Mytilus edulis: one gene and its partners. The protein of the gene in region 2 purifies or fractionates together with the protein of the main gene of each other region. This does not show direct contact. Links are inferred from orthologs where the notes say so. Each region holds a gene or a part of one and is shown on either strand. Other genes may lie near its edges.

The links.
Region 1: the proteins of neuralized-like protein 4 (region 2) and centrosomal protein of 290 kDa-like purify together in Homo sapiens (affinity purification with mass spectrometry; 3 studies listed by BioGRID and IntAct, with this or other methods). This does not show direct contact. The link is inferred for Mytilus edulis from reciprocal best matches to the Homo sapiens genes NEURL4 and CEP290.
Region 3: the proteins of neuralized-like protein 4 (region 2) and protein ZNRD2-like purify together in Homo sapiens (co-immunoprecipitation; 4 studies listed by BioGRID and IntAct, with this or other methods). This does not show direct contact. The link is inferred for Mytilus edulis from reciprocal best matches to the Homo sapiens genes NEURL4 and ZNRD2.
Region 4: the proteins of neuralized-like protein 4 (region 2) and ubiquitin-protein ligase E3A-like purify together in Homo sapiens (affinity purification with mass spectrometry; 3 studies listed by BioGRID and IntAct, with this or other methods). This does not show direct contact. The link is inferred for Mytilus edulis from reciprocal best matches to the Homo sapiens genes NEURL4 and UBE3A.

The regions. Positions count from the first base shown.
Region 1 is NC_092353.1:4,363,144-4,370,632, forward strand, and holds the start of centrosomal protein of 290 kDa-like, read right to left. Parts: upstream 3,209-7,489; 5' UTR 3,027-3,208; intron 1-3,026. Other genes in the region: uncharacterized protein, read left to right, coding at 6,625-6,720. UniProt on the Homo sapiens protein: Involved in early and late steps in cilia formation. Its association with CCP110 is required for inhibition of primary cilia formation by CCP110.
Region 2 is NC_092356.1:70,055,305-70,063,157, reverse strand, and holds the start of neuralized-like protein 4, read right to left. Parts: upstream 3,252-7,853; 5' UTR 3,216-3,251; coding exon 3,033-3,215; intron 1-3,032. Other genes in the region: spermidine synthase-like, read left to right, coding at 3,312-3,442, 4,666-4,786, 7,714-7,806. UniProt on the Homo sapiens protein: Promotes CCP110 ubiquitination and proteasome-dependent degradation. By counteracting accumulation of CP110, maintains normal centriolar homeostasis and preventing formation of ectopic microtubular organizing centers.
Region 3 is NC_092346.1:30,325,262-30,333,042, forward strand, and holds the start of protein ZNRD2-like, read right to left. Parts: upstream 3,269-7,781; 5' UTR 3,149-3,268; coding exon 3,112-3,148; intron 1,186-3,111; coding exon 1,040-1,185; intron 220-1,039; exon of another isoform or gene 200-219; coding exon of another isoform or gene 167-199; intron 1-166. UniProt on the Homo sapiens protein: Might play a role in mitosis. Antigenic molecule. Could be a centromere-associated protein. May induce anti-centromere antibodies.
Region 4 is NC_092351.1:84,601,747-84,609,637, forward strand, and holds the start of ubiquitin-protein ligase E3A-like, read left to right. Parts: upstream 1-4,650; 5' UTR 4,651-4,782; coding exon 4,783-4,832; intron 4,833-7,891. Other genes in the region: NF-X1-type zinc finger protein NFXL1-like, read right to left, coding at 1,793-1,976. UniProt on the Homo sapiens protein: E3 ubiquitin-protein ligase which accepts ubiquitin from an E2 ubiquitin-conjugating enzyme in the form of a thioester and transfers it to its substrates.

The DNA of each region.
Region 1 (7,489 bases), on a different chromosome or scaffold from region 2:
AACATTCTTTTATTTCATAAAATCTTTGTTTGTATAGTTTAATCCTGTCGATTTTGTGTAATGTGTGTCCAAAATTAGGGAAACCCCTGCACTGAGAGTTTCTCCAATAACCGGTGATTTCGTGCATGCCTTCCAAAAATAGCTTATTTTAAATAAAGGAAAGATTTTATACTACGAAATATAGCTGAGTTTGAACCAAATACACTGCCAAGGATGCAGAGCAAAGATTATTTCAATCTGACATTAGTTTGACTTAATGACTTAAATAAAACAAATTTTATCTGATGATGTTTTTTTTAATGGAAATTGGTCAAATATAGCAAATCACGGGATTGCAGAACTTTATTAATTAACTTGAACTTATCAATTTTATTCTTTTTCATCCCTTCGAAAGGCTAAAACAATTACAAGAACGATTTTAATTTGTGTACAGGGATCTCCATGGATGAAAATTGAATGATGGAGGAACTTTCACCATTACAAACCGTGTCTACGCTGTACAGTGTAGCGCAATCGGAAGTATTTTATCCCTCCATACAAGGAATGGTGAACATGCTAATTCATTGCTTGTTTAAATTATATTTATTTGAATTTTCATTATAGAATTAGAAGATTAGAGGTAATCCGTTTATCGGATAGGACATTAATGATCATCAACATTAATTCATTCAAATAGAATCGGTCAGTCAGCAATTATCTGTGAAGAAATGTGCATATGACAACTTGGGCACAATTTGCAATGTTTACAGTACTTAGTTTCATGGAGAAAACGTTATGACAGAAAGTTGAAAACCATAACTTGTTTTCCATGAAATAAATAGCAAATTCAGATTTGGCATTGACTGCCCTCATTTTTTGATTGTTGATCATATTTACATCCTCTACTTAAACTGTTTATAATCCTCCAAAGAAGGAGCACACGGTCTGTCGTGACATGGGAAATAACATGTGCTAATATGGCAACGAGAAGCAGGATTCTCATTAAACAATAAGCAGGATCCGGGATCAGACTCCCTTATAACAGTTACATGTACAATGCAGCTGGGCCAAATGTATCCGCGCACTTAAGACTTATGACTTTACTTCATTCAACTGATCAAACCAATAATTGGATAATATTGTGTGAACAAATTCATAACATTCTTTTATTTCATAAAATCTTTGTTTGTATAGTTTAATCCTGTCGATTTTGTGTAATGTGTGTCCAAAATTAGGGAAACCCCTGCACTGAGAGTTTCTCCAATAACCGGTGATTTCGTGCATGCCTTCCAAAAATAGCTTATTTTAAATAAAGGAAAGATTTTATACTACGAAATATAGCTGAGTTTGAACCAAATACACTGCCAAGGATGCAGAGCAAAGATTATTTCAATCTGACATTAGTTTGACTTAATGACTTAAATAAAACAAATTTTATCTGATGATGTTTTTTTTAATGGAAATTGGTCAAATATAGCAAATCACGGGATTGCAGAACTTTATTAATTAACTTGAACTTATCAATTTTATTCTTTTTCATCCCTTCGAAAGGCTAAAACAATTACAAGAACGATTTTAATTTGTGTACAGGGATCTCCATGGATGAAAATTGAATGATGGAGGAACTTTCACCATTACAAACCGTGTCTACGCTGTACAGTGTAGCGCAATCGGAAGTATTTTATCCCTCCATACAAGGAATGGTGAACATGCTAATTCATTGCTTGTTTAAATTATATTTATTTGAATTTTCATTATAGAATTAGAAGTATCAATATTTTCATTTATTGTCGTTTTTAACCATTTAAATGCCAAGTCTTCATGGTCCCTTCTTAGTTGAGAATGACAAAAGCTGTTATGAAGGTCCCCATGTAGATTTCTTGTATTTTTGGTAATTGTTATGGGGGTTAAAATCATATGATGTGGAGCTTATTTTTCATGGACACTCTCAAATTAAGAACCCATTACCAGTATGGCTGATTTGAAGCAACAACAAACGATTCGTACGGGTTATGTAAAAGGTTAAAGAGATTTGTAAAGCAAACGTTGACAAATGAAAAGGTTTTTAATGACTTTATCTGACAAATTGATGCTGTGCAACATGCATCTTTAGAGTCTGAATAGAAACCGGAAACACGAATGTATCAATTTGATTGTAATATACGAAATGAATTCGGAATTACGATACGATATTTCTTTACAGTAAAAATTTAAGTTTTTACTTTTAAACTTTTAAAGTAATTCTTAATTATCGTTACAGCAGTACTCAAGTTATTTGCGATGAAATAATATTTACTGTTTTGCGTCTTATTTTGTACTTCTTAAAAAAGGGGGATGCTGATTGCGTAAGTCAAAATAAAGCATGTGTTCGACTTGTTAAACTGTTTTCTTTGTAACTGGATTATTTATTTATTTACTCTAAATTATTATAATCATTTGCTGAAACTGAGTTGATTAATTCGACAAATGGATCGTCTATCCTCAGATAGTATTCTCCTGTCTGGTTTGTTGATCTACCTGTACAAGCTCAGGTACAAGTGATTAGCGATCTTAATCCGGATATCCCTGAGGCGTTAGAACTGTATTGGATTATAACATAAAAAGCCTAAGGGTTATGCAATTACATGCATTTGATTTTAATTGATAAAAAAAATGGCGTTGGGCTACAAAAAACGATGAAGTTTTGAACGATGGCAGAAGACATTTGAACAATGGTGGGGCACCATCGTTAAACAAGCCATGGAGATCCCTGGTGACATAATCAGCTAATGCTCGATATTACGGGCCGTACAGACACCGTGGACTCCACTGTATAACTTTTATAAGTGGAAATTTATTAGGTTTTTTTGTCTTTAAAGGGTAACTGTACTTTTATGGGAGTGTTCAGTTTACTGAAGGTACATGTGGTTTTATTTCAATTGACCATAAAGATGTATTCAACAGTAGTAAACAATGTAAAGTAAATCACGTCATTATTAAAATAAACAAGTTTGATCTTGCTGCTGTTACAAAACCAATTTACACATCATTCTGTGTGATGCAAATACCTTTTGTTTAGTGTTCAGTTTAAGAAAACTTTAAAAAGGTTTTAATTGCGTCCAGTATTATGGAATCAGCTACACTTGAAACTCGCTAGGCAACTTTTAACTATGACATTTTGAAGTTTGAAGAATGTCCGCCATTTTTTATGTAAACATAGTTAGTGTCGAGTAAATTGGTAAGGCTGTAGTATTCGTCGCGAGCAATTTGCAAAATAACAAAACGAATTTAGAAAGTTGTCAAACTATATTGATTTTTTTTATATTCTTTATCTTACCATAAATTGTCAAATATGATAGAATAGAATTTTATCACTTCATTGAGTACTAACAACGTTTATGTTTAATCAATTTTAATATGAGCTATTTAATTCGTTTTGGAAAAAAATGTTTGATTTGAGTGAGTAATGGCACGAGTTTTAAAAAATGCTAAAATAAGCTTAACTATCTAACCTTTTTAAGCTTAGTCACAAAAATCATAGTGTAAAACAGAGTTCATTGTATGAATGTAGAAAAGACGCAGAAAGTTACCCTCTACTTAGCAAGTAGATTGTAGTTGCCTGTTAGTGATGGCTAACTAATTTCTTAGATTGGTCCTCTTTCTGTTTTGCTGAAACTGAAAATAGTAGCCTAACTTAAACCAACCCTTTTTTGATTTCATAATGATTTAATCCACAAAATAACCAATCAAATAGCTACAATAATGTTTGTAGGACTCTTAAAAGAGGGACGAAAGATACCAAAGGGACAGTCAAACTCATAAATCTAAAACAAACTGACAACGCCATGGCTAAAAATGAAAAAGACAAACAGAAAAACAATAGTACACATGACACAACATAGAAAACTAAAGAATAAACAACACGAACCCCACCAAAAACTAGGGGTGATCTCAGGTGCTCCGGAAGGGTAAGCAGATCCTGCTCCACATATGGCACCCGTCGTGTTGCTTATGTGATTACAAATCTGGTAAATAGTCTAATTCGGTAGGTCATATTCATGAAAGGGAAGGGAATTGTAGTTACGACGTAAGGAACGTATCCGATATCATTTGTGAAACGGTTATTCCATAACGGTCAACCAACTCGTGATGGCGTCCGTAAAATTTACGAAGGGATGATTTCAACTTCACTATTTGGAACTCTTGTTTTAATAGCTTCCTTGTGAGCAGTAACCCTCTATCAAGAAAATCATGATAGGAAATGCAAGCACGGGAATATCGTATCAATTGGGAGATATATACCCTGTATGCAGGTGCTGCTGGAATGTTGCTACTTAGAAATGGAAAGTTCACAATTGGAAAGCTGAAATCATCTCTTTTGTCGTAAAGTTTTGTTTTCAACCGACCCTCATTGTCAATTTCTAGATGTAAGTCAAGATATGAAGCTGACTTAACTGTATCTGTAGTATCCTTTATCTTAAAGTGTGATGGGGGCGCTAAAGTATGATGGTCCCGCTAAAGGGTGATTGTGGCTGCACTAAAGGCCGATGCTCCATACTCTTAAGTGCGATGAAAGTATAGACGTATGAAACGTAATTGTATTATCACGTTAACAGTTTTTTATACAAACCATAAAAGTACATGCTGGACGAAATATTTCAAGTCCTCATTTAAGCAACTGAAAAAACACCCACACATTTGCTTAAGCTGACAAAGCAGGGTTAGGTGTAAATAAGATTAAGAAAGTCATAGACACTTGCTTTCCGACTGCTTGGTTTATCACTTATTTCAACTTATATAAAACCAAGCAGTCAGAAAGCAAGTGTTCATGACTTTATTAATCTAAACCTAACCGTGCCTTGTCAGCTGAAGCAAATGTGTGGTTTTTTTTTCTTCAGTTGCTTGAAGGAGGACTTGTATCTGCAGTTTACTTTATAGATACAAAATAGTATACACATATATATCCTGTATCCTGCTTTTATTGAAAGCAAACAGCTAAATTTATTTTTACGATAATTGTTGTTTTATAAATAACTTTGCCTTCCCCATGGTTGAAATATTGTGGATTTTCTGAAAAAGAAACATCTGTAAAATAAAGGTGCATGCTTTCAAGCGTAAATTAGTAAATTATAGATTGTATGCTAAATCACTAGTTTGTACATTTTAGGAAAATATATCATGTATTATTTCTTGCTACGAAAATGTAGAAAACTTTGTTCTCGCTGCGAAAATGTAGAAAACTTGGACAGCATCTCCTTTCTCACACATTTGAATTAAAATTTATGCATATAAAATAAAATTGAGAAAGGAAATTGGGAATATGTCAAAGCGACAACAACCCGACCATAGAGCAGACAACAGCCGAAGGCCAACAATGGGTCTTTAATGTTTTACATTCCGAAAATAAACAAATATTGTATTTGTTATTAGCAATAATGACTGTAAGCTAGGACTAGGGGAGGTGTTCACACATAATTGTTAGACAGTATGATTTTCTAGTATAGAATCCCTAATGATCTGTCATAGGTGTTCTTTTAGGTAAAAGTTTTTAAAATGAATTTTATTGAGAAAATATATTATTTTAGAAAATATGAAATTATGAAATATTTTATTACAAATTTGAATTTAATTAATCAGGTAAATTTTGTGAAACATGTCACTTGTAAATAATTGCTCTGAGCAACACTTTGGTATCTTGTCAATTGTCATTAATTAATCTGAGCTATATTATGTTTTAATTAGGATTATAAATGTAATGAACTTGTATCTCTCTAATTGACATTATTCATATTTCACCTTTGGACATTGTAAACAATATTATTAATACTCAAATTATCTCAATTATCAAAATTATCAATGTCTGTCATTTTATGAGTAGTTTTCAGGATTCGCCTTAAATATCGGAGTCGAACAGTTGTTCGTCAGTGTAGTCTCGTCGGTGTTATTCAGATAGGAGTGCTTCCAAAGCCAACCAGGCTCAGCTACTCAGGAGAAACGCTAACTCAAAAGACAGCTCAAAACAACTGTAATCGTTCAACCAGACAACATCAACTTTATATATTTGGAACATTTTGGACTTTAACTTTAAACTGTGAATTGGATTAGTGAAATTAGTGACTTTATTATTTGGAACATTTGAACTTTATTTATTCGTAAATTGTTTCGGCATCATTATTATTATTTGGACCAGTTACTATATAAAATTGTTACAACTTGCTGCTTGCTTTATAGTTTTGCCTGCTATTGCTTAAGTCTTGCGAAAGACTGACCCACTGTGCCTTGGGCTGTGCATGTTCGATAGTCCCCCTTAAACTCGACGTGCATTGGCTCTTGGTGACAGGTTCTCTTCACCAGACTCTGATTTGAATTATTTTGCTTACAGTTTTGTCTGTGACTCCCAGATATTTCTGCTCTTATAATTTATCTCTTCATTAGACCAATATTGAACTTGACAATTTTGAAAGGCATTATATATAATTTTATAGAGGGTGTTTTGTTAATTTCTATCTGGCAGTTTGTTCTAGGCTTTATGTATTCTAATTTATGTGTTTATACTTTATATCTCAACATTCTACACATTTTACTCACACCTGACATAATATGAACCTACACAAGCCACATTGAGTCACTTATTTATATTTTACATATTTGTATTGTTGCAGGAAAATGGAGTTTGAATTCCTGCTTGTGCTGTTGTTATTGCTGACCAAGAGTTTGTTAACAGAAACAAAACTGACCAAAGAACAACCTCTTATAATAAAAGTAAAAATGTTATATAACATTTACTGTGATAAGCTAAGAGGTTTGGTTCTATCATGTTCTATAAAGATGGGTTCAAACTTACAGTGTTAAAACAGTTAGACCATTATAACAATATGTTCTAGATCAATATCACTTCAAGTATATCTTTTTTAGTATAAACTTGATATAAGAACTATTAGGAAGAAGCTGAAAACTGAGTGATTAAGATATCAAGAGTATCAAAATAGTCTAATAGATGGGGAACAATCAAATTTCAGCACCTCAAAAATCTATGAGGTTTAGATTTCAATAATGAGGAAACAACAATATTTAAAGAAAGATCTGGGTAATCACATTTAAAGGTACCAATTTTATTGGGACGGATGCACATTTCTACAATGTATCTATTGTGGAGCAAGACAGGCCAATATATTTGAATACCAAAACCTAAAAATATGTTGAAGAACTTACATGTGTTAATTGAAAATTTCATGAGCTAAATCCAGACAAGAAACTAGTTATTGAGACTGAGTGGGTCAACTAATTGACATGATGGAGGAACATATTGATCTGAATTCATGTATTAATTAGATATAAGAAGATGTGGTATGAGTGCCAATAAAACAACTCTCCATACAAGTAATAATTTGTAAAAATTAACAATCAAAGGTCAAACTAGAGTCTTCAACGTGGAGACTTGGCTCACACGGAACAGCAAGCTATAAAGGTCCAGAAAAAACTAGTTTAAACCATTTAAACAGGAAAAACAATGCTATAATCTCTTTAAAAA
Region 2 (7,853 bases):
TGCCATCCTTTTATGATTCTTTGTTCAATTTGTATTTAATTCATATTGTTTTATCAATTCACATTATTTTTAGAAGGGAAACTTAAAAAACAGGTTTAAACTGGGGAAGTAACCCGAAATTTCTTTGAAGTGTTTTGAAAGCTTGAAGCATTGAAAAGTCGTTAATGATCCTTAATTAGTACTATGTTTGACACCCAAGTTGCCAAGTGAAGCCATTTAATTACACATTGTCTGTGATTTACAGGTAAAAACAACCCTCAAACGTAATTAATGTTAACTTGTCATTCAAGGTTAAAATATTCAAAACGGTAGATTCTGTACTCCTGTACAGGAGGGTACCGGCAAGCGGGAGATTTCCCGAATTTTGGCATTTAAGGGGGAGTCTCCCGCTCAAAACGTGAGGATTAGCAGGTATGATACATCAAACTTGAAGTGGCCTATGACCATATACAAATGTACATGTTTGCAGTTCCAGATACCTTTTTTAGTTGAATCTGTCATATATGACTTCCATCACCATGTGACCATAAACATGAAAACCTAGGCATCGTTACCTCCAGCCCGAGTTGAACAAACAGAGGAAAAAGTTTGATTTTAGACTGCACAAAATATTTGGAAAATTTAAATCTAATAAGAATGGTCACCCAGACGTATGGGAATCAAGATAATTTCCATACTTACGGAACATAAAATATTGAGGTACATGTGCTACCGTATGGAATGACGATTCTGAAAGTATTGGACACTCTTAATTAGTAGAGCAGGGATACAGGCGCGCCTTCTATCTGGTAAATGACGTCTTCAATTGACAATCTTTTTCAGTGAAAGACTGATACTGGAAGATCATGTTCTGTATATGGTAGTCCAAATAATTACGATGTCTGGCAAGGCTATTTTAAATTTTTTTCTGGGACGCAGGGAGGCAACACAGAAAAAAGTAAAATTGCCTTGCCAGACATCATAAATACTAGAACACACCCACGAAATCGCGTGCATATACAGCTTGTGAACTGCTGTAGGGTGATTTTTTGTAAGAGACATTACATGTATGTATGGAGAATTTCATAAAAGGTATCAAAAGCCCTCTCCCTTTTTCCAAAGTCCGATTATTTGTTTCCTTTCTGTTAAATTCAATTATTTTCGTGTTTCGTGCCTCAGACCACAATTATTCTTCTCCTTTGCTACAATGCATCTTTTGGTAATAGTCAAATTAAATTAAAAATTTGCACCACTTCAAACATGAAATAAATGTAACTGCTTATATAAAGACCATTATTAGTCTAATAAAATATGCTTCTAGGACAATCCATAAGTGCTTTTTCTTTTGAGAGCCTTGTTAACATGCCAATGGTAGGATATGAATCTTGTATAAATAACTAAGACCGACTAAGGCCAATTTGAGGGTGGTCGGAGGGGTCCTGATCCCGAAATCCAGGGCTTAAAAACATGAAATCCTGAGATGCAGAATTTAAAGAAATTCATATCCCGAAATCGAAAAATATATTCCCGGATCCCGTAAGAAACGATCCCCAAATCCCGGGCTTAAAACACACGACCCCGACGTCCCAAAAAAGGTCCTGCCTCCCTCTAATCTCTACCCTACTTTCATTTTTGCCAAATCATTACTTTCACTTCCAACAATAAATTTTTATGACCCATTTATGGGCATTATGTTTTCTAGTCTGTGCGTTTGTTCGTTCATCCTTCCGTCTCATGATCCCGCGTCAGGTTAAAGTTTTTGGTCGAGGAAGTTTTTGATGAAGTTGAAGTCCAATCAACTCGAAACTTAGTAAATATAGTGCCGATGTGGCATCCGTGTACTATGGACACATTCTTGTTTCCACATGTTTTACTTATTTTAATATATATTCAACTGGTATGACTCCTTTTAAAAATAGTAATATATTTCAAAGAAAACTGCAGACAGAATACAGAGAGTCTCTATATATTAAAGTATTATAATCGTAGTTTACATGTAGATAAACGCAAAAAATAATTGTCCTCTCTAAGGAGGTATAATAGTAGTGGTTCTGGCGACCTAAACACCATGATATGGAGAACGCTCTGATTGGCTTATTTATTTTTTCATTTTTGTTATCTATCATACGATTGGTTGTACTTGTGCGTGTTTCAAACCGGAAGTTGATCTATGACTAAAAGTCAGTCTGATGACGTAATCAATATTCGGACTCCTTTTTTTTCGTTTTTCTCCAAAAATAACACAATCTGAATAATCATAAGAATGAATGACAAATGCGACTATGCATGTTACATATAGAACACAGAGGCATGATGATTAATTTATCGTGGAAGGAAGAGAAGCGACACACAAAATGAGGTCTTCTTGTTTTATAATAGTATAGATTTGGACCATGTACATTATGTGAGTTCGTGGTCTAGTGGTTAAGACCGATGGCTACAGTGCTAAAGGTCCCGAGTTCGATTCTCACTCGGGGTGCTAAAAATATCAGTACATCAGAAGGGTAATTTTCACCCTCTCACACACATCTCCGGTACCCAGACCGGAGTTTAAACTAGAATGAGTACTTTGGGGGCCTAGGTTGGTCAAAGTTGTCCCCTACTTTGACCTGGAGATCAATCTTCTGATATCTCTCTGGTTTGTCTGTTTCCACCGAGTGGCCCGGTGGTTCTCTCCAAGTACTTCGGCTTCCTCCACCATAATAACAGACTTCTCTGTGTCCTACACGCTCCCTTGGGCAGTGTTGGGTGGAGATTGTTCTGGTGGTGGGATAATATTGTAAAGGACACATCTCCATTAAACCTTAGGGAGTGAACATGGATCCACTGTACCCTTGCAGTCAATCAAGGGGTGCGTTTAAATTATCGGAATCTCGAAGTACATACATACATGTCAACCCTTCACTCAAATGTTTATGGGTATGCACAGACGGTTTTGGTTAAAATGTTAGCACAGACATATCGCACCATTTTAAGGCTGATATTGGTTTAAGGGACTGGGGAAACGCTGACAAAGTAAGAAAAAATATAAGACATGCTGAGACATGGACAACCTTTTTGTCTATTTTGACTTCAAATAATTGGTCTTCCTTTAATGGGTCTCTGCTAATAGCGACACCATTATTGAACTCTTGGGCGGGATGGTTTCTCTGTGCTGTCCTGTTCTCATTACTCAGTTGGACAAGCGATCCAACCCTTTCATGGAATTTTGGCAAGGGTTCGTCTGAGGAGGCCATTTTCTGGAATCCTCTGATTTTTACGTCTACCTGGTAAATCCAAGAGAACACCCGAAGTTAACAGTTTCCGTTTTTCGGTTCATCAGCTGATTACCAATGGATTTAATTAAAGACGGGTGGTTTAGTGAATTAAGTGAACTATGGCCAGGACAGTGCATGTCACTCCAAGTGGAAGAATTGTTGTTTCATGAAAAATCTAAATATCAGGATTTAATTGTATTTAAAAGGTAAAATTTTATATCTCTCACTGTATAAACAACACACGTGTCCAAACTGTTATTTTATCTTATATGATGCATTTTCAGTCAATGCTAAAATTAAAAGATAAAAGAAGATACAATGTTACTTAGAATTTAGCTGTAAAGAATTATTTGCTTTTTCAAAGTTTTTAATAAGAACATCTAGGTTTTGATGAATGTTTTCCAATTTTTAGTACAACAAGTATAACATGTATAACAATCGTGTATATATTTAGATATATAATAAAGTTAAAGGGCATAATCATTCAGCTTATCATTAGCCTAATATTTTTTTGCTAATTTTGAGAAGAAAAAATGTGAACAAAAAAGGTGTTCAAATATTCTTATTTTACAAGTTTTATTGGTTTTAAGCAAAATATATATTTTTCATAAAAGCAGAATTGTGAAATTATAATTAACCTTAACCTGAAACCCTATCATGGGACATGTACCTATTCAAATAAACATGATAAACAGATCAAAACAACTTATACATATGTCAGTGCTATTTAAATTTTAATTATATGTCAGTGCTATTTTAAAGCTCACTAGAGCTTGTGTTATGTAGTTTATTGAATATCGACTCTAAATAAAACTTTGAATCTTGAATCTTATTTAAGTTAAACTTATATGTCAGTGGTATTTACATTTGCAAGTTAAAACTTAATTGTCAGTGCTATTTGATTTAAGCTTATATGTCAGTGCTATTTAAGTTTAAATTATATATATGTCAGTGCTATTAATTTAAGTTTAAATGTTTAAATTATATGTCAGTACTATTTAAGTTTAAATTATATGTCAGTGCTACTTAAGTTTAAATTATATATATGTCAGTGCTATTTAAGTTTAAATTATATATATGTCATGTATGTCAGTGCCATTTAAGTTTAAATTATATATTCAGTGCTATTTAAGTTAAACTTATATGTCAGTACTATTTAAGTTTAAATTATATGTCAGTGCTATTTAAGTTTAAATTATATATATGTCAGTGCTATTTAAGTTTAAATTATATGGCAGTGCTATTTAAGAAAACTTATATAATGATATATAAATATCAGTGCTAATAAAGTTAAACTTATATGTCAGTGCTATTTCAGCATGTTCAGTAAATACTATTTGTCAGTGATCCCTATTTCAGTTAATATTACATGTCAAAGGGTTCCCTCTTTCACTCAGTAAATATTATATGTCAGTGTTGTCTATTTCAGTAAAACTTATGGTAATGTTTTGGTGTTAGATGGTGTAATACAGTGCACAGAAAGAGATGAATTTTCATATCAAGAAATGTTGGCACATTTACCACTGAATTCTCATCCTAACCCTCAAAAGGTTTGCAAATAGAACAGTTTTAAAGGGGAGATCCAATTACCCTAAGGTACATGTAATCCTTACCAGTGAACAGTTTAAAAGGAAGGGGAGATCCAATAACTTGAAGGTAATCTTTACCAGTGAACAGTTTGGGAAGGGGAGATCAAACTATCTTAAGGTAATTCTTACCAGTGAACAGTTTAGGGAGGGGATATCCAATTACATTAAGTTAATCCTTTCAAGTGAACTGTTTGGAAAGGGGAGATCTAATAACCCTTAGGTAATCCTTACCAAAGAACCTTTTAGGAAGAGGAGATCCTATTACTCTATGTTAATCCTTACCAGTGAACAGTTTAGGAAGGGGAGATCCAATTACTCCAAGGTAGTCCTTATGAGTGAACAGTTTAGGAAGGGGAGATCCTATCATTCTATGTTAATCCTTACCAGTGAACAGTTTAGGAAGGGGAGATCCATCTACTCCAAGGTAGTCCTTATCAGTGAACAGTTTAGGAAGGGGAGATCCTATTACTCTATGTTAATCCTTATCAGTGAACAGTTTAGAAAGGGGAAATCCAATTACTCCAAGGTAGTCCTTATCAGTGAACAGTTTAGGAAGGTGAGATCTAATTACCCTAATGTTATCTCTATCAGTGAACAGTTTGAGAAGGGGAGATCCAATCAACCTAAGGTAATCCTTACCAGTGAACAGTTTAGGAAGGGGAGATCCTATTATTCTATGTTAATCCTTACCAGTGAACAGTTTAGGAAGGGGAGATCTAATTACCCTAATGTTATCTCTATCAGTGAACAGTTTGAGAAGGGGAGATCTAATCAACCTAAGGTAATTCTTACCAGTGAACAGTTTGAGAAGGGGAGATCTAATTACCCCTAAGGTAATCCTTACCAGTGAACAGTTTGGGAAGGGGAGATCCAATTACCCTAAGGTAATCCTTACCAGTGAACAGTTTAGGAAGGGGAGATCCAATACCCTAAGGTAGTCCTTATCAGTGAACAATTTAGGAAGGGGAGATCCAATTACCCTAAGGTAATCCTTATCAGTGAACAGTTTAGAAAAGGGAGATCCAATTACCCTAAGGTAATTCTTACCAGTGAACAGTTTAGAAAGGGGAGATACAATTACCCTAATGTAATCCTTACCAGTAAACAGTTTAGAAAGGGGAGATCTAATTACCCTAAGGTTATCCTTACCAGTGAACAGTTTAGAAAGGGGAGATCTAATTACCCTAAGGTTATCCTTACCAGTGAACAGTTTAGAAAGGGAGACCCAATTACCCTAAGGTAATCCTTATCAGTGAACAGTTTAGAAAGGGGAGATCTAATTACCCTAAGGTTATCCTTACCAGTGAACAGTTTAGAAAGGGGAGATCTAATTACCCTAAGGTTATCCGTACCAGTGAACAGTTTAGAAAGGGGAGATCCAATTACCCTAAGGTAATCCTTATCAGTGAACAGTTTAGAAAGGGTGATCAAATTATCCTAAGGTAATTCTTACCAGTGAACAGTTTAGAAAGGGGAGATTCAATTACCCTAATGTAATCCTTACCAGTGAACAGTTTAGAAAGGGGAGATCAAATTACCCTTATGTAATCCTTACCAGTAAACAGTTTAGGGAGGGGAGATCCTATTACCATGATTAATCTATGTTACCCTTGCCAGTGAACAGTTTAAAGAGGGTGATACGTTATACTGATCCAATAACCCTTAGGTTATCCTTACCAGTGAACAGTTTAGAAAGGGGAGATCCAATTACCCTCAGGTAATCTTTACCAGTGAACAGTTTAGAAAGGGGAGATCCAATTACCCTTAGGTTATCCTTACCAGTGAACAGTTTAGGAAGGGGAGATCCAATTACCCTCAGGTAATCTTTACCAGTGAACAGTTTAGGAAGGGGAGATCTAATTACTCTAAGGTTATCGTTACCAGTGAACAGTTTTAGAAAGGGGATATCTAATTATCATAAGGTAATCTTAACCAGTTAACAGTTTGGGAGGGAGAAATCCAATGACTTTAAAGTAATCTTTACTAGTGAACAGTGTACAAAGGGGAGATCAAATTACTAGTAGGTTATCCTTACCAGTGAACAGTTTAGGAAGGGGAGATCTAATTACCCTAAGTTATCCTTTCCAGTGAACAGTTTAAGAAAGGGGATAATTATCATAAGGTAATTTTAACCAGTTAACAGTTTGGGAGGGAGAAACCTTATTACTTCAAAGTGATCATTACTAGTGAACAGTGTAGAAAGGGGAGATCCTATTACTCTAAGGTTATCTTTACTAGTCAACTTGTTGGAGAGGGGAGATCTTATTACCCTAAGGTAATCTTTACAAGAGAACAGTTTGGGAAGGGAGATTCAGTTATCCTAAGGTAGTCGTTACCAGAGAATAGTTTGGGAAAGGGAAGCCCAATTACTCTAAGATAATCCTTACTTGTCAACAGTTTGGGAAAGGGAGATCCACTTATCTGAAGGTAATACATGTAATACCATGAATACTCAACAGTTTGGGAAGGTGGACTTTGCACATGATTATTTAAATTAATGTAAGGTCATGAAGGTTCTCTTTACCAAGTCATGTAAAAATCTAAAATCTTTAACCTTCATCAAAGTTTTATATGAAAACTTTATCATTCAAGGGTACTTATTATACATGTACAAGTGATTTCAGAGTCACCCTTTTAAGTGATTTTTGCATAAATTTTTTTTTTTTTAATTTAAAAAAAAAGATCTGAATTTGTGGTTCACAGTTATCATCAAAAATTGGTACATGAAAAACAGGTATGCAAATAATATGCATACTAATTTTCTTACAAAAATGTTGAAAGGTATTTAAATTGAAATTTATCTCAAGTTCTAAAATGTAACATGTCATGCATTCATCCATTCTCCATGTTCTCAATTTAATGTATATCATTTTAAATTTTCTTTTCAGGTTTTGATAATTGGTGGAGGTGATGGGGGCGTACTGAGGGAGGTTGTTAAACATCCACAGGTGTCTTCAGTATATATGTGTGAAATAGACGAGGTATGTTGATAGGTATTAAGGGAGGTAATTATATAATCAAGCATTAA
Region 3 (7,781 bases), on a different chromosome or scaffold from region 2:
TGATTATGAAAATACACTATTCAAATGTTTGTCTGCTAAAAAAATTTCTTATCTAAATTTATGCCAAAACATTAATCATTGTTAATGCAAGCAAATAAAAAGGAATTAAATTTTATTTGGCCTTATCATACAACTTTTCCTTCTGACCAGGCTTACAAAAACTTACATGTAGTTGGTCAGAGTAAAAAATGTCTTCCATTTCTTCTAGTTTGTTGAGCCCTGAATTTAAAGCAAAAAAGGAAAACGTATGATAAGGCAACAATTTCATCCTTTCAATTCGAAAAAAAAATCTATTATTGAATAACACCCTTCAAACAACCTTGCAAAACACATAGTCTGATAACTGCAACTATGCACCAGAAATTCTCTTAAATATTTGCTAAAATACGTCTTTAATAAAACTTATTTATAGAACAAAATGCAAAAGCTGTAAAAATTGTCTGATTTCAAAATCTTATCTTTAATTAATTGTGTCAGTTTTAAGATTAAGCAACAGCTTTACCCAAAACAATACACACGTATTGCAACATGTTATAATTAGCTTATGCAAAGATGTCAATGTTCACGAGTTAAAAAAATCTGTTTGGGTAATGATGTTACTCAATTTCAATATTACCAAAGTATATGAAGAATGGTAGTTGTAAGTAGATATGTAAATGGTAACAAAGATGACATGTTTTCCATTTAATTAACATGACTGTATATTGTTTTGTTCATTCATCACTAAAAAAATTTATATAAGTTTGAAAGACTGAATAATTTTACAAATTTTATGGGATTTTTTTTTAGGGGGGAGGGGATTTTTTTCCAGTACACATAAGGTGATTGCCAGTTTCTATGATGATGATCAAATTTCACAGCCAGTGCTTGTGATTGTTGGTAATTCACTCTATGAGTAATTATTCATCAGAGTGGTATCAATAAATCATCAGTTTCTCTCCCCCTCCCATTGCACAAACATCCCCTGACACCATAAAGACTATTTTTTTTTAACTGAATCACCTTGTGTGTGCTTGTACTGTATCTTAAATTTTTTTACCTCACAAAATTGGCAAGTTGAACCAAGCATTTTGTAACCTTTAAGGAGGTATTCACCCATTATGCTACTAATCTTATCAGAGCGTTCTCTTCGTGCTTGAATAACTTTCCTTTCAGCATCAGTTGGAGGCTGCCATTCATAATCTTCTGTAAAAGATCTTTTATTTTCATCATTTCATTTTGTAAAAAAAAATTGCCAGATTTCAATTTCAAGTCATAAACTCAAAATACAATGAAATACAGCACTTTTCGTTCATTTCACTTGATTGACCATTTATGATTCTAAAGCCCCATAAAAATGCCCCTGAGGCCATCTCCACATTTAGCAATGGGGTATTTATCTGAATGAACAAGTGTATGTTCATGTTTCTCCAGATCAATTGTTTGGTACTTGGTCAAAAGTTTTGAAAACATTGCTTTTTTTTTTATTATAACAGTTCTTTGAGGCGGTCTCACTAATTATCGACAAGAAGGGACAAGAAACTATTTAGCGAAAAGAAAACATATTTTTTTTAATTAAAATTATACTATGGACCAGTTCTGGTCATGGGCGCAGTCTGATATGGACTCCAGATCACTTTGTGCCGCTAGTTAAAGCTAGCCACAATAATTCTGTTATTGATATAGACAGTATGCATAACTTTCCTACTTTAGATAGCACAAGAAATGAATCAAATGTGTGTCCAACAATTTTTGATACCACTGTTAAGTCTCAAGATGAATCTTTCGATTCAGTTTATCAAGGCAATAAACGCAGTGACACATGTCATGTAGAATTAGATAACTCTTATACTGATGTAAAGCCTTTAAGGTAGACAGCATATATTGCACGCTCGAGACAAATGAATCAAATGAATCAACTGATTCAAATATTCAAAATGAAATTATAATTAAAAAAACTTTAGATGGCAAGTTTTTATCAACTGATCAGATTTTAAATGTGCTGGTAAATGAAAATGTTTCTCATACTGAGATACCAGACTCGGTTTAAGAGAATGAGTACTTTTGTATAAATATTATGTTAGATATGAACATGATGAATGTACATATTTACTATATTATGACTAAAAAGAAATTAAGAAGAAAAAAAAATATGGAACCCAAGGTAGAACCAGGTCCTCGTCGTGGGGTCTGGAAACACGCTTAAATAATAAAGATGGCAAAGTGTGGCTGAGAGTTCTACAAATAAAGCATCGCATTGACATAACAAGATTACAGTTAGAGCATATCATTAAGCAAATGAATCAAAATATTATATTTTATTATGCCCGCTCCATATATATCTCCATTCATATTCATACTTTGACTTTGCTGAAAACAGATAAATACATTATCTTCTACATATTCTTTATATTTAAACATAAAAAAAGAAGCTCAATCTCTTTCTTCTTCACAAATGTTTAATTTCTTCATCTACCAATTTATTAATATAAACTTCACAATCTCTTTCTTCCTCACAAATGTTTAATTTCTTCGTCTATCTATATAATAAAACATTTTAATTAGACATATCTGCTCGTATATTAAAAAAAAAACACCATTAAATACAAATTTCTTTATATCTACTAAAAAAAAAATGTTTTCTTGTCCCTAAATAGTCTTCTTGTCGCTAATTAATGAGACCCATAAGCGGTTTAATCAATCTTTAAATAGCGTAATAGGCTTAATCATGTTAATGTATGTTTTAAATTATGGGGAATAGGTTGATGGAAAACCTAATGGTCAACAAATTGTGTAAATACATCTATAGTTGTTCATGACTTTTCAATTTTAATCTACATAGCCTTGCCAGACGTCATAATTAAGACTAATAGTCCATCCTTTTGTATTTAACAAAATTTCCAGATTCTTAGGACATATTTGCGACATAAAGATTCATTACTCTAGACATAGACGATAGGAACTTGTTTCTATAATTATAAAACCTTACAATATCAATAGTGAATATGTTTTACAAAAACAAGCACCTGTGTCATGGAACACCCTCCCCCTTTTTATTTTCTTTTCTGCGTTGCGGCTCATAAAAAGAAACTGGATGTGAGTTTGACTTCATAGCATTGATGTTCATATTACCTAATGTCATGCTGCTAGACTTATTCATAATATTCATTGGAATATCGATTCAGATATGAAACATAAGAAAAATAACTTCCAAAACTTCTTTCGATCAACCATTCGGTATTCATCGGTAAATACATGTGCATTCATTCATAATCTACCGAGGAGTACCGAACGCTAATTTCGTCTGGTATCCGACCTCACTTTACAAATAGGAGTAACGATCCAGGCTACAATTTTCATTGATAACGTCCCTTGATTTTGACATTATTAAATAAAAGAAAAGCAAAACGTGGAAATAATATCTAAGATTAAGGGAAAAATCAAAACGACAATGGAATGCACCATTTTCTACATTTGAAAATGCCTGTACCAAGTCAGGAATGTGACAGTTCTTGTCCATTCATTTTTGATGCGTTTTGTTATTTGATTTTGTCATGTGATTATGGACATTCCGAATTGATTTCCCGCTAAGTTCAGTATTTTTGTGATTTTACTTTTGGCCCACGGGTTTGGGGACTTTTTTCGTGTGCAAGATTTCAGAAAACAAGAATAATTAGAGAATAAAAGTTTGTGTTTTCATAATTTGCATTAAACACGTTTTAAAACGATCAGAAAATTTGGGTTACACTAATGACTGGACCGAATGACAAGACCAAATGAAAAATGTTAATAACTTTTTCATTTCTTAAAAGTTTAGATCTCAAATTTGAAATATAATAAGATTTTATCATTTCATATATAGATTTAAGAAAAAAAATTTTTTTTTTTTTTTTTTTTAAATGTAAGAAACTTTAGAAAACGTGACATGACCAACTCTGATAATGACAGGACCAACAACGGCAATGGCAGGACCAAATAAAAATGCTAATTAATTTTTTTATTTTTCAAAGGAATTATCTCAGATTTAAAATAAAAAAATGATATGTCACATTTTGAAAAAGTCACCAGCCAACTTGATAAAATACTTATAATGTAATAGATGTGCCTTGATGTGTCTAGGTTAATTCCCCTTAATTTGGACAGATTAATTATTTAGTATTTAAATGTTTATTTTAAGTTTAATTTTATTTAAACACAGTAAGATAAAAGTAAGGATTGTTAATTTAACTGTTTTAGTATTTAACTTTCGATGTTTTTATAATGTTTTATGAATATTTATTTATTCAACTTTTCTTCAGTACCGTTTCAGTTAAAGTTACCCTGTTTAATGACAAGTTTAGAATATCATTTGATATTCAGTCGGAGTCGACCTTGCACAGGCCTCCAAATACTCGCCGGACTGTATCAGTTCACTTGAGTTAAGAGTTAGCCACTACTTCGGTGCAGTTCGCCACAGTTAGTCACCCCTTTATGGTGCAAATCTCACTACTTTAAAAACACAACGCGAAGCAAATTTACTTTACTTTTAATACTAACTCTGAGAACACTTCAATTTCATTTTACCTTTGAAACTTCAGTTTAGAAAGTTTTCTGACTCCTGTTTATATCCGACTTTGTTTAATACATGCAATTATTGTACATATGTGAATAAAATATAGTTTCGTTTGATCATTGTTTGTTGTTCAGCCATAATCTGATATCAGGTATCCCAATGGTCGAATAGGGGCGAAGTACTGGCCGCTACACGTCCCGGAAGGTGTCGTCACCGACCCCCTCCGTTACAATAGCAAGGATTTGCACACTAGCAAATCAATGATCAAAGACATCCATTTCACTTACAAAGTACACAGTTAGCATTGCATTTTCTGTTTGTTTGTTTTCTATTCTTTAAACGGAATTTAATACTCGGCATGCAAGCCGATAATTTTACAGCCTTGTTTTTGTATTTATAGTTGAAAATGTCCAAAGAATTCATGTGTTCAGTGACCGATTATGCATGGCATATAGATCCGGACGGATGTTTATGGAAAAAGTATCATTGCACAGTTTTAAAAGTGTATAGAGTTGTTTTCGAAATTGGCAGCTTTTAAAATTGCCAAATGATGGATATTAATCAGAACAAGTAGAGAGAAGCCTCGATTTTTCGGGGAATGAGTACATATGTCAGTCTACAAAAATGTACCAACTTACAATGATGATGCGAGCCTTTTTCCGATGACACTTGAAATATTGACCGCTAAACTCTCATCAAATTGATTGATCGTAGGTTGCTTGAGCAGTAGGGCGTGATAATTCAAGTCAATTTAATATTCCATTAGAAAGAGTATACATATCCAGAATCTCAACGCCACTTTGCTTATTTGAATATTATACTAAAAAAATCGGATACGGGTCACGTAAATTACATTAAAATGATAGGGAATTTTGAAAAAAATGTCTGTTTTAATTTTAATTTAAGTGATAGACAGGTTGCCGGGGCAGAAAATGAATATACACAACAATATACACCATTTAAACGAAACATAATGACTGTTGTTGCAAAAATACAGGTTCCTGAGCTATTTTAAAAATCGAAGCGAGAGGCTTTTAACATTGCAGTGTAAAATACAGGCTAAAATGGCTGAAACGTCAAATTTGCAAACTTCGTGTTGAAAATTGGCTTACAAGGTCATTACAAAAACAGGTTGCCGGGGTGAATTTTGAAACTTGAATTTCCAAAGAATAAGCAAGTCCAAACCTTGTATGTGTAGTCGTTGAACTCTAGGTTCCCACGTAAAATTAAAATGTCTCTATTTCAAGAAGTATAAACTCACGAAAGCACGAAAAATTCACTAAATTCGCGTTCATTGTTTTGATTTTGACCGCCTGACAATTTTACGGAAATATCAAAGTGATTGTAAATAAGGACTCTGTGACGGGCAACTTATAATATCCGTGTTTTAAAGATTTTAATGATATATCAAGCCAGTCTGTTCAAACTACTATCACGTGGTACAATTCTCATTTACATATTATGAATATTAATTAGCAAAACCACTACTAATTTCTGGCTATGAGTTAACTATTACATCTGCAACCAAGGATATACAAATCCTTGCTGCAACTAACAAACTTCAAATAACATTAAAACTAGTCATTGATATTATTAATTTGTGATTCTATGGAACATGTGTAACAAAAAAAAATGTTTCGGTGTGATATTTGTTCAACGGGACTAATTTCAAAGGAAATATATGTTCCACCGGAATTAATTTCACAGAAAATAATGTTCCAGCACTGTAAAATTTGTTCCGAAACTAATTTTATGACTGAATGTGAAATAGGTTCCGGAACAAAATTGTTCGAATTAATATTAAGAGTTTAAAAGTTAAATAAGTTCCTGTGATATTAGTTTTAAACAAACATGTACTTATCATCCCCAAAAAAATCAATGAACAAGTTCCGCTCGAACCTATTTTCGCAGAAAAGAATCGGAAAATAAGTACCTTTGCAACATATTGCACAGCGGAAAAAAAATCTTGTTACATTCAAATTATAATGCTGTACTGAGTATATGAATGCCTGGAAAACATTTGCAATTGAAGGCATGACTGTGACTATAGAATGATGATACGAAATAAAAGCAATGGTAATGTATCATAATTTGTATGTTATGTTTTATTTGGTATTCCTCCTTTGTTTCTGTTAACTGTCACGACCCCGTATTCTAGTCATACACGTACTTGGGTCATGTCACAGTTTCAAAAGAGTGTGTCTTTTGTTATAATTGATTAGTCACTGTTCCTTTTTTAAATATGTTCTTTTTTTACTTTTCTCTTGTTCTAAATGATTTTTCTTATTAACATTTTTTAATGCATTGTGAATTTTATTCAGATCTGCGATATGATCTTTTTATGAAAGCAAGTGCAATTAACCCAAATTTTTACGATTTTAGTCATGATGACAAATTTATCTTTCTGATGTCACATGACTGTATACAACCCTTTTTAGCAAAATCTTTATATTTTATGTTTAACCGCAGAAAATATTGTGTATAACGGAATGTTTTTTTTTTTAAATGTGATGTAAAAGTTTTATTTATTCATTTGTAAATGAATGTTAGAATAAGTTTTAAAGCAAAAGTGTCTCATAAGTCAGTCATGGCTGGATACCGATATTTTAACTTCGATTTAAATTCTTATTTGTATTTTTATACTTATATTATTATGTATGATATTGTTCAGTATTGGTATGTGACACTATAATAAAATATTCTGTCTGTCTGTCTGTCTTATTCTACTCTTTTCTGGCTGAAGAGTGTGAATTTTTACATTTCTTACGGTGTATATAACTAAGCATTTGCTATACATATTATGCTATACTCCACAGGATCCGATATGGATGATTTACACTTTTTACTTTTTTATTATTGATATAATATTAGAAAAAAAAGAAGATGTGGTATAATTGCCAATGAGACAACTGTCCACAAGAGACATTACCAACTATAGGTCATCGTACGGCCTTCAACAATGAACAAAGCCCATCATACCGCATAGTCGGCTATAAAAGGCCCCGATATGACAATGTAAAACAATTCAAACGAGAAAACTAACGGCCTTATTCATATAAAAAAAAAAATGAACGAAAAAAAAAAATAATGTAATACATAAACAAACGACAACCACTGAATTACAGGCTCCCTTCTTGGGACATACACATACAAAAATAATGTGGCGGGGTTAAACATGTTAGCGGGATCCCAACCCTCCCCTAACCTGGAAAAGCGGTATAACAGTACATAAGAACGAATTATCAAAATC
Region 4 (7,891 bases), on a different chromosome or scaffold from region 2:
CCCACTGTACATCCCCAAATCAATAACCGACATTTTTGACACAAAAATCCGGTTAAAAAGCGATAAACAGTTTATCATTGGTCATCTCAACTCGATTGCTTTTCTCGCTTTCGCTGTAACATAATCTATAAAAAGTCTACACACTCGAAGCTCAATTTTTATTATTTTTTTAGGCTATAGATATGCATTTTTACAAACCTGGGCTGCCAGGCCTGTGGTCCAGTGTGAAGACTGGTTTAATGTTTTGACAATTTTACAAAAGGAATGAATCCAAACAGTGAGTAAGTTAATGGTCAATTATCTTTGCAAAAACTTAGAATTTATGCAATTTCAAGAAATTCTGTGTATGGTAAATTATCATGTAATGTCAGAGATAATACCATTGTCCTATGGAATAAATGCAGTGTCAGAAGTGCAAACCTGAGCCTTGTATCCCAAACTCTGTCTAACCAACAATATGGCAGACAAAGAGTCATTGGGTCAGACAGAAATTTTCAGATATTTTTTATTGAAAACATAGTCAAAAAAATTTTAATTTCTTTTTCGGTCAGACAAACCATAAAACAGTTTGGTACAGCAGTATTCATTTTCATCTTAGTCTTCTCTAAAGCGCTCATGTGTAATAATTAATACAGACATTTACAGCTGATTTCCTAATGCTTGCAAAGTAAAACATTGGTTGGCTTGCATGCTTTGTTTGTATAATTGTTTATACAAGCTTCGTAAATAAGATTGACATCTTTAAACAATTTATATAGGCATAGTTTAACCTGTATATATCATATTTGAATTTAATTTGGTGTTATCCTAATGATTGTACAATATACAAACAAAGTAAGCAAGCTAACCAAAGTTTTGTTCTACATGCATTAGGAAATTAGCTGTAAGTGTTCCGAGAAGAATGAGTATAGAAATATGACTATCACCATGGACAGCATCATCTTTAGCATTATCTGTTACTTTGATGGTAGGTCAATTGATGTGGAATATTGATCCAAAAGTAAAATCTTTCTATTTTTATTTAATTTCAATTACAATCAAGTTTGACATTGAATCATGTGAGTTTTTTATATATTTCTCATTGTTGAAGGATGTACAGTTGTCTATAATTGTTTACATCCACTTTATTTGATCTTAGGTGGAAAATGGTGGACAGTTGTTTCATTGGCAATGAGCATACCTCATCTCCTTCATTGTCCTTATTCTTAGCTTTGATGCTTTAATACATTAATCACTGCAAAAGGAAATCCATGATATGTTTTATTAATTTTGTATAAATTTGCATTGTGTAATAGATCAAAATTATTCTTTCAGTGTATGTTCACTTGTTTTTGTTAATCTGTCTTTTGATTGAGTTGATATTTCATAGTGTGTGTTTCTATGTTGTGATGTTACACTATGGTTTCAGGTTGGGTGAAGGTAGGCAACTATGCAACATTCAAACCCTGCTGCATTTATTTGGACCTGTCCTAAGTCAGGAACCTGATGTTCAGTGGTTGTCATTTGCTGATGTGGTTCATAAGTGTTTCTGGTTTATTATATAAATTAGACCATTGGTTTACCTGTTTGAATTATTTTACATAACTCAAATCTATTTGGGGCTCTTTATCATACATGTATTTTTAGCTTGCTGTTCAGTGTAAGTCAAGGCCAAATTTGACTTATAGTTGTTTCCTTTTAACACATTGTGAATTGGATAAAAAATTGTCTCATTGGCACTCATATTACATTTTCTTATTTTTATGTTTATCCTAAACATTGTTACATGTAAACATGGTAAAGGGAAACATACCATTGATACTGGTCTGCGATATTTCTTTTTTTGGTTGTTTGCTGGCAACACCATTTTTCCATCCATCGTCCTTGACATTGTTTTCAGAGCTACCGCCATTTGTCCATTTAGCTTTGTTTTGTTCTACATTTCCACGACCTCTGCCCCTGCCGCCTCCTTTCAGATAAACAGGAACTCCAGACATTTTCTATTTTACTTTAGTAACACTGAAATAAAGTCAATGTAAGTGAAACATAGAATTTTTTTTACATATATATATAGCCATTAAACTCAATATCAAATCAAATAATAAAGGAACAACCTAACAGTGTGAATAGATTTCACAGTCAGAGCTCAGACATAAATAAGTCTGAATCTGCTTTTGACTCATAGAGGTCTAAATTTGTAATTTTTAGGATTTATATTTACTGCAAAAGGCTATAAATTCAGTATATATAACGTACCTGAACCTTTGAACAGCATGAAAAGTGTAAAGACAATATGTCCCAGCCTTACCAACCTAGGTTTGCATGCAGTTTGGTAAACACACAAAATCAAATATCAACAAATACTGTAAATTTAGAAATTATTGGGTGCACTTATAATTGCAATCTTGTCATTCATTGTCATTTAAGACTTAAATACGATTTTTATCTTTGCGATATTGAGAAAAATCCTGTTTAATTCATTTAAAAAAATTTAAAATGCAAGTTTTAATCATTGCGATTATAACCCTGTTGCATTTTCGCAATAAAAAAAATTTGTGTTATTATAGGACCTTCTATATTTATTGTTTTAATCGTAACAACCCTGCAGGGGCTAGCTGAAGGAAGCCTCCAGGTGCAGGAATTTCTCGCTGCATTGAGACCTTTTGGTGACCTTCTGCTGTTGTCTGTTCTATGGTCGGGTTGTTGATTCCTTGACACATTCCCCATTTCCATTCTCAATTTTATAGGCCAGGTATCCACTTTAAAACTTTCAGAAAACTACTGGCAGAAGATTTACCAGGCATTATTTCACTTGGGTTTAATTTTTCATATTTTAAATATAAACATGTTTTTTTAAAAGAAAAGGTGTACATGCATATGTAGTGTAATATTTATATGGTTTAATGACATAATTCTATTTGTGAAATGTACTTAAATTGTATATACATTGATATATGGTATACATAAATGCCTCTGGTGCTGTCACGCTAGTGAATATTTTGTTGCAATATTGGGTCTCAAAGTTGACAGCAAAATTCTCTCAAAAGTTGTGTTTGGTCTAGATGTCAAAGCTAAAAATGAATACCTTTTCAAGACATCATTATCAATGATTATTATTTGGGCTAGAGCTAGCTTTTAAACCATATCTCATATGTCCTTATGACATGTATGATTATTTATGACAAATTGTATACAATAGATGGCACCCTGTAAATTGTCAAAAGAATCATGAGAATATTATAAAGACCTCAGAGATACAGTTTAGCAGCTAGAGTGAAGCACCCTAAATGTGTGTTTGCAGAAGAGTATTAGTAAACACACACACACACACACACAAATCTATTGGGAAATATATATATTTTTATAACAAACATAACCAGATAACATTTAACATGTTTAAAATATATAGTACAGCAATACATGTACATGTACCAATAAATAATTATATGCAAAAAGTTAAATTTGCTTTCTGTCAGTCCTTAATAGTCCAAATGATTATGACATCTTTAACCAAGAGTTCCAAATGGTGAAGTAAATATTACTGGTGCCATCACAAGTTGGTTCACCATTATGAAATATCAGTTTCACAGATGATATATATCTGAAAAAATATCGGATATGTTCCTTATGTCATAATATAAACCTGTTCCCTTTTTACGAATGTGACCAACCGATTTCATGTTAATTATTAGAAATCCAGTAAATAGTCTAAATCGGTTGGTCACATTCGTAAAAAGGGAACAATTGAACAACACTGTGGAGCAGGATCTGCTTACCCTTCCAGAGCACATGAGATAACCCTCAGTATTTGGTATGGTTTGTGTTGCTCAATTTATTGTTTTCTATGTTGTGTCTGGTATACTGTTGTTTGTCTGTTTGTCTTGAAATTTTTAAGCCATGGCATTGTCAGTGTATTTTTGTATTTTTGATCTATAGATGAGTTTGACTGTCCCTTTGGTCTTTCGCCTCTCTTTTGAAAGGCCATTTCATTTTATTTTGCTTTTGTGTCTTATGTCACTGAAAGGTGTAAAAAAACACACATGTAATAGCCTTGTGAGACGTTATCATTATTTGGTCTATGTCACAGTGGCGGATCCAGTTGGGGTTCCGGGGGTGCGCACCCCCCCTTTATTTTTGCCGATCAATGCATTTGTATCGGGAAATATGTTTTGCACCCCCCCTTTGCCCTGGGTTAGCACGCCCCCTTTCGAAAATTACTGCATCCGCCCCTGTGTCAGAACTGTGCTCTGACTGTCTGCCACACAGTCTGGCACTGAGTGGCAAAATAAATAAAGTTTCACGAATTGTGCCTACTGCAGTTTTTTATATGTCATAAATGGGTAATTATATAACACTGGGGTTGAATTGAATATTTTGCACTGTTTGCATTGTCACTTACTCTGACATATTGTTAATATACATATATAATTCATTAAAATTTGACAGACTTTCGTCTTCGTGGGCATGAAGTTGTATAAATTCAAAGTCAAACCGGAAAAGAATCGTGGTTCCGAATTTAAAATAGTTGAAACAGGGAACCTGTCCATTATAATTTAAACATTAATGTAATATAGAACAAGTGGAATGTAGTTTATTATATATAACTCTATAAAAATGTATTTATATATAATTTTGAAAATTGTTATGATTATTCATTCACAATAAATTATTAATCTCGCCTCAACGAGAAAACAAAAATGGCGAATTCTAGAAATTGAGAAAAATATTTGACCTTTCAAAACACATTTATTCATTATTGGGTGACTGAATGGACGAAATAAGAAGGGGAGATTAAAAATTCGTATGAGTAATAACGAGAAAACCGAAGATCAGAGCGGAACAAAAGCCGCCAGGTTGGTCTTTGAAGCTCCAAACTGTCAAAATTTGATAGACCAGGTTGACAACCAGAAAATCAAACCGAAAGTTAAGGAAATCCTGACTACGCAATACGCCATTTGTTTTACTAATAAATAAATACACAAGTTCCTCAAAAATTGAAATAACATGGAATGAGTGGTTGACACATTTGACAATGAATCCAAACAAAAAACCAAACAACACCAAGTAAACTTATTTTTTTTGTCATGCAAAATTCCACATTTGGATCTGTTGTTTGTTGAAAGAATTAAGATACAAAATGTATTTGAAAGTTGTAACACATGTCAGTAATATTGCTGACGGTGTTGGTGGTTTCAGTCATGCTCCACTGACATGACTGAGGCCATGTAAACAAGTTGCACTTTTATAAAATTTATATGTAACCCTCTTGCTGCCAGTTGTTTTTCAGGGTTGCATTTCTGACACATGCCAGAAAATATGATCGCTCGAAGTTAATGTGACGTGACATGCCAAACAATGGTTATTAGATATATGATGTCATGCCGTAATGACTGTATTAACATTTGATTGTAGAAACACTTTTTAATTTTCGGTCTTTTATTTTGAAAGAGGTACAGCAATGATGAGAAGCTTGCATACATTAAAACATGGACATATGTGTCCCACCGTCAGCAATACTGTACACCTTATCGCTAATCCCGGCTGACCCGGCCGCTTGAACTTTTGACGCATACAACAATCACTTTTCAATTGTCAGTCAGGGGACTTACTGAAATAAGTGATTTGTAAATCACTTATTTACTGAAATAAGTGATTTATAAATCACTTATTTATAAAGTAGCAAATTCAAAATTTTGTCATAAATTGTGATTTTGTAGTTTTACTAAAATTTTAAACACATAGGTTTAGATAATATGTTTTCATTAGTAAAATTGAAAAAAAAAACTTTTGCTTCTTTAAAGTAGCAAGGTTTATGCCTTTGATGCTATCATTTAGCTGTAAATTCTATTTTATTGGAAAAAATGCTATAATAATGGCTTAACTTAATGAACTGATACTTTATTAACAGATTTTTCCCAGCAGTGGGAGTATTTTTCCTGTAAAGTTCAAGGTTTCATCTTTCAGATTATGTAATAAAATTCTACTGTTCGCGATAAAAATTTCACTGTTCGAGGTTGTTGAAAGTAGTGGGGGTTATTAGAATAATGATACTTAAAGAAGTGATTTTTTGGAAGGAAATTGAGGTATGATACTTAAACAAGTGATTTTTATGTCATTATCCCAGATTCAGTACAAGGTCATCATCTGACATGACCTGGTCATCCTAAACAACACAGATGTTGGTTCTGATAAGTTTAGAAACATAATTAGTCCCTGGATCATTAATATTCTATATTTAAAACTACAATAAAATTAAATCACTTATTCTAGTGATAAATTTGTACTACTTAAATAGGTGATTATTAAAGAAAGACAACTCTTACTTTCAACCTCTATGAACATAATGTTACTTGAATCAGTGATTTAGAAAATCACTCATTTAAGTAAGTCCCCTGACTGATTGTGGTGTCAGATATTTTTTTTTGTGACGTCAAAATTTTACGGAAACATGTGATATACAGTAATGGCAGACAAATAGCAATAAGGTGTATAGGGTTAAAGAGCCTTTGTCATGTTTGTTGTTTACAGTTGGTTTGATAAGGCTCTAAAATGGCCCTCTTTTCCCCTTAAATTTCAAATTATGAATTTATTGACCAATATATCAACAAGATAATAGTGTAATTTTGAGAATTTCATATAAAAAAATGCCCAAAATTAGCAAATTTTAATCATTGTTAATTGTTTACAAAGAAAAATAATAAGATGAGGCAGGCATTACCTGTGAATGGGGACGAATTCTGTATGATTTAAAAAAAAATCAAACATGTTAAAAAGAGAAACGGAAATATCGTTTCCGATTTTGGTTCTGTTGTAAGGGATTTTAGTTGTGACGTTTTTTAAGTCATGACGTCATATTCAATGTAATCAAAGAAATGCTGTCAGCAGGTAATTTTTTTTTTTTTTTATAACAAACAATTTTTAAAAACGAATTAGTATTAATATAAGTTCCTTTCTTAGACATGTTAGACTGATTAATATACATTTTATTCAAAGTCTCATGCAAACAAGACCGGAAACGGAAGTAGATTTCTTCGCAAATCTGGAAATTCAAAACACAAGAAATTTTTTTTTGAATGATTTTGAGTTCATTAGGTACAATGAAAAATTCGGGAAATTTTCCCGATTTTAAAAAAAAAATTTTTTATTGAATTTTCTACTGTAATGGGGGACTTTGTCCCCATATTAAACATTTGTGTCAAAAGATGAACAAACTGTGAACATGGTGTACATGTAAGTGAATAAAATGAAGAAAAAAAATAAATACAGACAATATTTAATATGAAGGGCCACTTGTGTCATAATAGGCAGGCAAGCCATCATCTCGGGTAGATTCTGTCAAGGCAGCTGGAAGGGATAAGACAACTTAAACATTGTTAAAACATATTTGATCTTGTACCATTCAATTTAATAATCACAGCCAAATACAGCCCTTGCTGAACTTACTTCTTTTAATATTTACCTACATTTTCTTATTCTTATCTTCATGATCATATACCATGTATACATGTATATGTTTAGAAAGATTTTGTTACCTCAATCTGTTTTATTCACAACAATGATAGTTTTTATACGACCGCAAAAATTTAAAATTTTTCTCTTATATTTGAGTGTGAATTCACATTACTACATGTACTATAAGACGTATCAGGGTACTTATCTATCCCAAATTCATGTAATTGGTTTTGATGTTATATTTGTTATTCTAATAGGATTTTGTCTAATGCTTAGTCCGTTTCTGTGTGTTTTACATTTTAATGTTGTGTCCTTGTTTTCCTCTTATATTTAATGCGTTTACCTCAGTTTTAGTTTGTTACCCCGATTTTGTTTTTTTGTCCATGGATTTATGAGTTTTGAACAGCGGTATACTACTGTTGCCTTTATCATGTTTATAGGCATTATCATGATTATATAT